Linked DNA regions of Schizosaccharomyces pombe. The main gene of each other region encodes a partner of the protein of the gene in region 2 in a complex. Each region holds a gene or a part of one and is shown on either strand. Other genes may lie near its edges.

The links.
Region 1: yip11 (region 2) and gem8 share a complex: the UniProt entries of both Schizosaccharomyces pombe proteins name them as parts of the core SMN complex.

The regions. Positions count from the first base shown.
Region 1 is NC_003423.3:2,289,942-2,293,087, forward strand, and holds gem8 (protein gem8), read right to left. Parts: upstream 1,400-3,146; 5' UTR 1,363-1,399; coding exon 862-1,362; 3' UTR 654-861; downstream 1-653. Other genes in the region: Rieske iron-sulfur protein, ubiquinol-cytochrome-c reductase complex subunit 5, Rip1, read right to left, coding at 1-117; cyclophilin family peptidyl-prolyl cis-trans isomerase Cyp7, read left to right, coding at 1,637-1,642, 1,683-1,711, 1,754-1,858, 1,949-3,146. UniProt on the Schizosaccharomyces pombe protein: The SMN complex catalyzes the assembly of small nuclear ribonucleoproteins (snRNPs), the building blocks of the spliceosome, and thereby plays an important role in the splicing of cellular pre-mRNAs.
Region 2 is NC_003424.3:4,903,563-4,908,167, forward strand, and holds yip11 (SMN complex subunit Yip11/Gem2), read right to left. Parts: upstream 2,833-4,605; coding exon 2,666-2,832; exon of another isoform or gene 2,561-2,665; coding exon 2,212-2,560; exon of another isoform or gene 2,138-2,211; coding exon 1,946-2,137; 3' UTR 659-1,945; downstream 1-658. Other genes in the region: bud20 (zinc finger ribosome biogenesis protein), read right to left, coding at 181-478, 538-614; rsm22-cox11 tandem protein cox1102, read left to right, coding at 3,416-4,605. UniProt on the Schizosaccharomyces pombe protein: The SMN complex catalyzes the assembly of small nuclear ribonucleoproteins (snRNPs), the building blocks of the spliceosome, and thereby plays an important role in the splicing of cellular pre-mRNAs.

The DNA.
Region 1 (3,146 bases), on a different chromosome or scaffold from region 2:
GGTAAATTTTGGGATGGTCATCATTGAGCCCTTCAACGACGAAGCAGTGCTTGAAACGGGAAGCAACCGTCTTAACGAAGATGCTAACGACTTAGAAATAAATTGCTTGGCCAGCATTTTTACAACGTTTTAAAGAGAAACAGGTTGTTGAAATATTCGGTGGGTAGCGGTTGGGGAAGAAACGTCAAGCTGCCTCTGGTTTAAAAATGGCGGCGTTTGTGGGTGCTGTGATTTGCTAAGAAGGTTAGTTGTATTTACCGAATTCACCGATTGATGAAACTACATATCCGAAGTTCTCCGAAAAATAACGAAGTACACAATAAAAAATTAACATAATTTTACAGCTACTTTTAACGATCAGTACAGTATAGTGCTAGACTGTGCAGTACATATATCATCACGAATCGAAAATCCTATATCTTTCAAATTCCAATATTATGGTACGCTAGAGATCATTTTGTTTTATCAGATATAATTTTCCAGTCTATTTTACTAGGTTCCGTATAAGAACATAGCTGGATTTACGTTCTTCCGTCCAGCTATAAACTATTTGGAGATTATAATATTATCCAATATTTAGATGTTTACAGTAGTATCATTCATCACTTTACAAGGTACAGCACCTGCATAAAACAATACAACAGTATTAGATTGAAAATTATCGTATTCTTTCACTAGCCTTAATTATTTTAAGGAATTGGTATATATCATTAATCATAGTTCAATGTAGAAGAAATGCAATATACTTATGTATAATGTATTCATGAAGATTGGTGACATTTATTGAATATTAAGCGTATCCTTCATTAATATGCAGGAAATTTTTCTACTCTATTGAACATCATCAATTCATAAAACGTTCTATCCTCGTATTGGTGTTGCCGGCCAATATTTGATAGGTAATGCAGTAAACTTGCGAAAAATATTATCAAGTATTTTTTCTTCCTCTAAAATTTCATAAGCCGAGTAATGGAACTGGTTTTGATATATTTCGATATCTTTCAATTCTTTTAATGAGATTGGTGTTTTTGGGTTGGTTTCTGGTTTGGAAGAAACCATTCTCTCCTTGTCCAGTGCTTTTTGTCTTAATTCTTTTTCTTTTAACAATTGCTCCTTCTCCTTTTTCCACATTAACTCCCTTTTTTCCGATTCACGGAACCAAAGAATTTGCTCATCTGTTAACGTTCGTATAGTCCCATCAGGATAGCGCTCTACACTTTGTGTATACTCAACGTTTGCACTTTCTGAATTTCCCCCACGATCGTTTTGCGCGAAAGCAACATTCCATAGGTTTACTGCTTTTGCATTAAAATGCTCATCATGGAATTTCTGTAAGTCTCCTTCTGTAATTTCAGAACTCATTAAAAGTTCCGTGGTTTTACACAATATTGGATTCAGTAAGGATTACTTTGCTAGTTGTAACAAGTTGCGATGAAATCAATTTGATGAACGAGCAAAGCTACGCTAGAACATTTAATGAATCACCCAAATTAAAATACTGTATCGTAGTGAATTTGATAACCCAATTAAAGCAAAACAAGGTAATACGTTAGGATTATACTAACAACGCAAACTTACAAGATGAGTAGTTTCTTTAAGAATTTAGCGATCCTTAATATTTGATGTACTTTATGGAATGGCCGTAAGTATATTTTTCTTGCTCCCTTCGACTAATCTCTCAGACTTTGACCAACTTGGAGCCTTTGGCAACGTATGTTTTTCAGATTTCCAGTTACTTTTACTAACATTATAGGGGGACTGTCATCCTTAAAACTACTCGCGGCGATATCCAGATAGAACTTTGGTGCAAAGAAGTGCCGAAGGCCTGTAGAAACTTTATACAGTTATGCTTGGAAGGGTAAGTTAAATCGTTGATGAGCAACGTTGTAGTCCCAAATGTTGCAACATTAAACTGCTTCGGGTTTACAAATATACTAATTAAATACAGTTATTACGATGGAACCATTGTTCATAGAGTTGTACCAGAGTTTTTGATACAGGGTGGAGATCCTACTGGCACTGGAATGGGTGGTGAATCTATATATGGTGAACCTTTTGCTGTAGAAACACATCCTAGGTTACGGTTTATAAGAAGAGGATTAGTGGGAATGGCATGTACTGAAAATGAGGGAAACAACTCTCAATTTTTTATCACCTTAGGTCCAACACCTGAATGGAATGGCAAGCAAACTCTATTTGGACGTGTTGTAGGGGATACCATTTACAATGTAGTAAGGATATCTGAGTTAGAGTTAGATGCCAACCAACGACCTGTTTTTCCCCCAAAAATAATTTCAACAGAGGTAATTGACAATTATTTTACTGACATAAAACCTCGTTCAACTAAAGAAGAAAGAGAGAAAATTGCCAATGAGCTAGCCCACCAGGAAAAACAGAAAGAAAGAAACAAATTATTGAAATCCGGACGACGAAATAAAGCAGTTCTCAGTTTTGGCGATGAAGTCGATATGCCTATTGTAAAAAAGCCGCTCAGGCAGAAAACGCCAGTATCCAGATCATCTGATACTACGACTGAGTTAAGTAAAGATTTGATTTCATCTTCATCCTCAATTCACAGTACTTACTCGTCTGCCCAAACTGGATTGACCTCTGCTAAAGTCTCTTCCGATGAATATGCTAGGCAAGTAGACACTTTAGATACAAAGTTAAATTCTTCCTCTAAGTCCAAGGTACAAGAAGAAATTTCCCGTTTGAAGTCTGAACTTCGTGACTTAGAAAAAAGTGGTGGCTCTTCAAACTCGAAACCCGTGGTTGTACGTCCTAAAAAACGGAACATCTTGACTGAGGAACTTGAAAAGTATAAAAAATCCAAAAAAGTTGTCTTAGGGAAGCGAAAAAACTTGGAGAATGACGAAGAGTCGACCCTTCGAGCACTTTCATCATTTCAAAGCAAGATTCGAAATGCAGAAGATGAAGATGTCATGGATAGTCAATATGGTAGCAAAATAGAAGACACACCTTGCAGCTTACACAATGTTCCTGGTTGCTTTTCATGTTTTGATAGGCTTGGCGAAAAAAATATAACAGAAACGAACAGCAACTGGTTTGCGCATCGATTGGTGGCTGAAAATGATCCAACAAGAAGAACGGAAGAACTTCGAATACAACGAGCAGAAGAGCTTAAA
Region 2 (4,605 bases):
AAATTTGTAATCCAAACATGGATGCAACTAAAATTACCAATAAACGCTGCTAATGATAATATAGCAGAATAAATGAGAATGAGACATATAAAAATCTGTTTAAATAAAGAGCATGCGCTACGAATATGGAACAAAAGCAAAAGTGCTGACTAACTTAGCATTCGTAAATGTGTCTCTAGTTTAGTCCGCCATGACAACGTTACTATTGTCAGCAAGCTTGGAAGCTACACTCTGTTTTGGCTGTCCAATATTCACCGCAGCTTCTGCTTCTTCTTGTGTATACGGCTCTTCACGCAAATTTTTTAACCTTCGTTTGTGAACCTTTCCCTTCTTATGCACCAGCAATGCTTGAGACGAGTCAAAGTACCGTGCACATTCAATGCAATAATGTTGACCTAAACCTGGCAAATCCGGATCTATAGGTAATTTATCAAATTTCTCAGACTCTGTTAAGTCATTGTGAATCTGATCTAAGTCTCTATTTGTCCAATTGTTAATTTACCAAACGATGATTGAATGACCATGAAATTTGCATACCTCCCATAAACACGAGTTCTAAACAAAGCATGATTTCCATTGCTATGATGCTTTCTTTTTCTGGCAACTCTTCCCATTGTCCGTCACTTCAAACAAACCCGTTTACCACAATTACAATGTTAGTTGCAAAGGATAAACTTTTTTAAGCGTAAACACATTCAATATCCAAACGGCGTAATGTGTGCTATATCGTATAGTGAAAAATAATTCTCAAATAATCTTATTTTCCTATCGTAGTTTGCGATAAGTTTAATAACGAGAAGGAAAGCCTCGTTATATAGTTGAAAAGCAAGAGAAATGTATTAGATATGTATTATTGATTGTTCTGAATAGCTCAAGTAGCGTAAATTTTTTAATAAATAAATATTCGTTCAAAATTTGGGAGAGCATGGTCAAAGCAAGTTGAAATGCATGCCTTTGAAATTGCGCTTTTTAAGCGACGATTGCTCCATCGTTTGACAAAACTTTGTAATTTAAGGGATGTTTAGCATCGGAATTTATTAGGGAAAATTGCTTTAGGCGTGATTCTTAGTACATGGCAACTATAGAAGAAATGAATTAACATTCAGTAGCTTTCTGGCTTTAACTGCCACTATTTCATCAAAGTCTCGACAAGTTGACGTTTAGTCGAAGGAAAGAAAGTATTCACGTAGCGAGATCAGAGTCCGCTTATCAGCAAGGAAAAAATTGAGCTCTCCATTTAGACTGCTATACTGAAGTGTGAGCAATTTTAGTGACATTTAGTTTTACAAAAGGAGCTTGATTGCTCGAACTCAAAAGATTCAATTAACCACGAAGGGGTTCTTGGCAGTGAGGTTGTAATTATTTCTTTTTTATTTTATCTTTATTTGACTTTTGTTTTTTCCCAAAGAATAATTGCAATGTTCAATTAGTTTTGAATTTGAAAAACCTCATATGGGTAAAAAATCACTCGGTCGAAAAAGACAGTAAAAATTTATTAGTTAATTTCGTAAGATGGGGCGCGAATTAAAGAAAGTTGCTAGTTATCATGTAATAACATAATTGAAACCCTCGATTCGACAAGTATGCAGACAGCAAAACGAATGCACGTACTAAACAAATAGTAAGCCATTTTTTGTAAAATGAAAATGTGAATCAATAAACAAATAACTTTGCCTATCTCAATTCAAACGTGTTTTTTTAAAATATATCTATCGATTTGTAATAGGCAAATTGTTTATTGCAGCTATCTCCAAGCTTGCTTAATCACATGTTCAAAGATGCAAAGCCCAGCATATCCGTGTAGCATATGTTTTCATTCAAAAAAGTAATAATATCCTAAAAACATATTTAAAACAAGCTATCAATTTTAATTTTTTCCCTATAAACAAACGTATGCTATATGAACATGTGTACCTAAATTTTTTTCGACCAAGATTTATAGACTCTATGTTTGAAAGAGATCTTTTTGTCCATATCGATAAACTAAGACTGCTTGAAGGGCAGATGCTGACATCTGCAGAGCAGGAAAAGAAGTATGCGTACTTCGTAAAGACTTGAGTACTGAACGTAGGGTCGATATATCTTCTCCATTCAAAAGCTCAGGAAGTTTATAACAAAAGCAAAAAATCCATTGACTCTAGAAAAATGTTAGCAAATTTTAGAATGAACAAAAATACACCAGCAAAGTAGCATGAGATCCTTGTTACCAACCTGTAAATCAATTGCGTCCTTTTCAAGCCAGCTGGACAAGCTTTCTAGGATCTCCAAAACAGTTGCCAAATCAACCACTGCTAATATGGCCCAACAAGGAGCTTTATGCTCAATATATACACGCCATTGTTGTAAATTTTTAGGTAAAATAGATGCGTCCAATGAAGAAGATTCCATATATTGCTCAAGCCTTTCCCCTTCTTTATCAATTATGTTTAGTAAGTATCGTAAAAACGGGTCAAAGCTTTTTTTGCCGGCCTCGATTTCCAATTTGCGAAGAGGAATGGTTTCTCTTGTTTCAGGCTCACGACGCGCCGCTACAAATGGAACTAGCTTGCGAGCTTCTTCTCTGAACTTGTCAGTAAAAAGCCCAATTATTGTTACAATGATTAGATTAAAGCATTCATGTTGCAAATTTCGATTTTCACAAAAATTCATATATAAATGTTCGTACCTCACAGTTGCTAAATAATCTAAACCATCAAGTGGTATATCATATTCCAAAGATTCTGAAGCACTATTGTTGTCGATTTGTGGAAAAGCGCTGCGTTGATTTGTTTCCTCATCTAATGATCCTGAAGTCTGATATTGTAAAGGATTTCTTTTTCTTTTCGAGGGCATTTTGAATTATTATTGTACAATTGCAAACTTCTCATATAAACCAAATGGAAAAGAATTACCGAATTTTCATGAAAATACTCAAGGAATGTAGGCTGTTTTTTTCCGGCAACTTTTCGTTTGTAGTTAGTTAACAAGGAATGTTTCGTAAATCGAAGATTACCCTAGTATAATAGAATGGTAAGGTTAAAGAGGTATCTGTAGAACTATCAATGTGAAGAGTCTATCTTGATCAAGTGTAATGCTAAAACTAATTTTAGCTATTTCTTGATAATTCCTTTACTATCATAAAATTTATTACTTGTTCTTATTTTCAAAGAAGTTCAAAGTTTTGCATTTTTTTGAAGTGTATAAGAAGCTAAAACTGGGAGAATATTCACTCAGACAGAATTGCCTATCCTTGAACTAATTTAATAAACATAAAACATATAGATATGTAGGAAATTGTACTATTCATTCTTCTGTCAACGCAAGTAACACCATCTGCGGCCACTTAATCAGGCACTTACTCTACACAATATACAGATCAGTGCTTTATCCCCAAATCCCATTGTTCATTGGTGAATTGGTGTTTTGAGCAGCACATATGCCCATTCTAACATGCAGATATAAAATTCTGTTTCTTTATAATTTACGGAATTGCTTTACTTTTCAAAATCAGCGATGTCTCATACCATATGGAACAACCACTACCATTAGGTGGTATAATGCAAATTTTCAAGCTGTTCAAAACAACTTTTCTGATTATAAAAACGAATTGATCTCTTCACATCGTCCAGAAGCTTCCAGTTTACTCGACTTTTTGGTAAAGGATCAAAAGAAAAGTGGTGATATTAGTTTGCATACAAAATTTAATCTATATGTGGACGATTTATTGAAAAAGAGCGAAAAAGGACAAATTAAAAAATTTATTAATGATATTAAAAAAGATTTGGCTACGGAATCTCAGCTTCCATTGTCTGCGCCATTCAAAGATGAATCTACTCGGACTATGACAGATCCCCAAGTTTTAGCTTATATTCATCAGTCTATGCCGTATCAATATGCTTCTCTATACAGCGTATTGACTGACTTGAAAATTGTAAACAGTGATGTGTCTTGCAAGTCTCAACATATACTGGATTGCGGTAAAGGTCCAGGTATTGGTGCTCTAGCTAGTTATTCAGTCTTTCCCACACCTAATTCAGTTTCAATTGTTGAGGAGAACCCATTTTTGAAAAAAATCATATATGATATTCACCATAACATTTACCCGTCAACTTCGCCGAATCCAACTAGCCCTGTTACGCTTAACCGTCTACCATTGGGTAAAAAGGATTCATACACTCTAGTTATTGCATCTAACAAGCTTCTTGAAATGAAATCGGAGAAAGAACTCTTTGATTATCTTCGTTCGCTTTGGAGTCTCGTGTCAAATGATGGTGGTCTTTTGGTGCTCTGCGAGCGAGGCACAAAGCGTGGCTTTAGTTTGATTCAAAGAGCTAGAACATTTCTATTGCAAAAAAGTAAAAATACTTCTGATAAACAATTCAATGCCCATATTGTAGCACCCTGTCCCCACGATGGTCGCTGCCCCATTGATATAGAAAATGGGGTAAGAGCAAATATTTGTTCTTTCAAACAACATTTTTTCCTATCCCCATTTTCCCGTCTATATGTCCCTCGTTCTCATCGTCGATCCTCGGATCGCTCTCATTACAGTTATGTTGTTATTCAAAAGGGTATAACTAGACCGCTTAATAATACCACACAAAGGTTCAAGAATGATGAGGATTT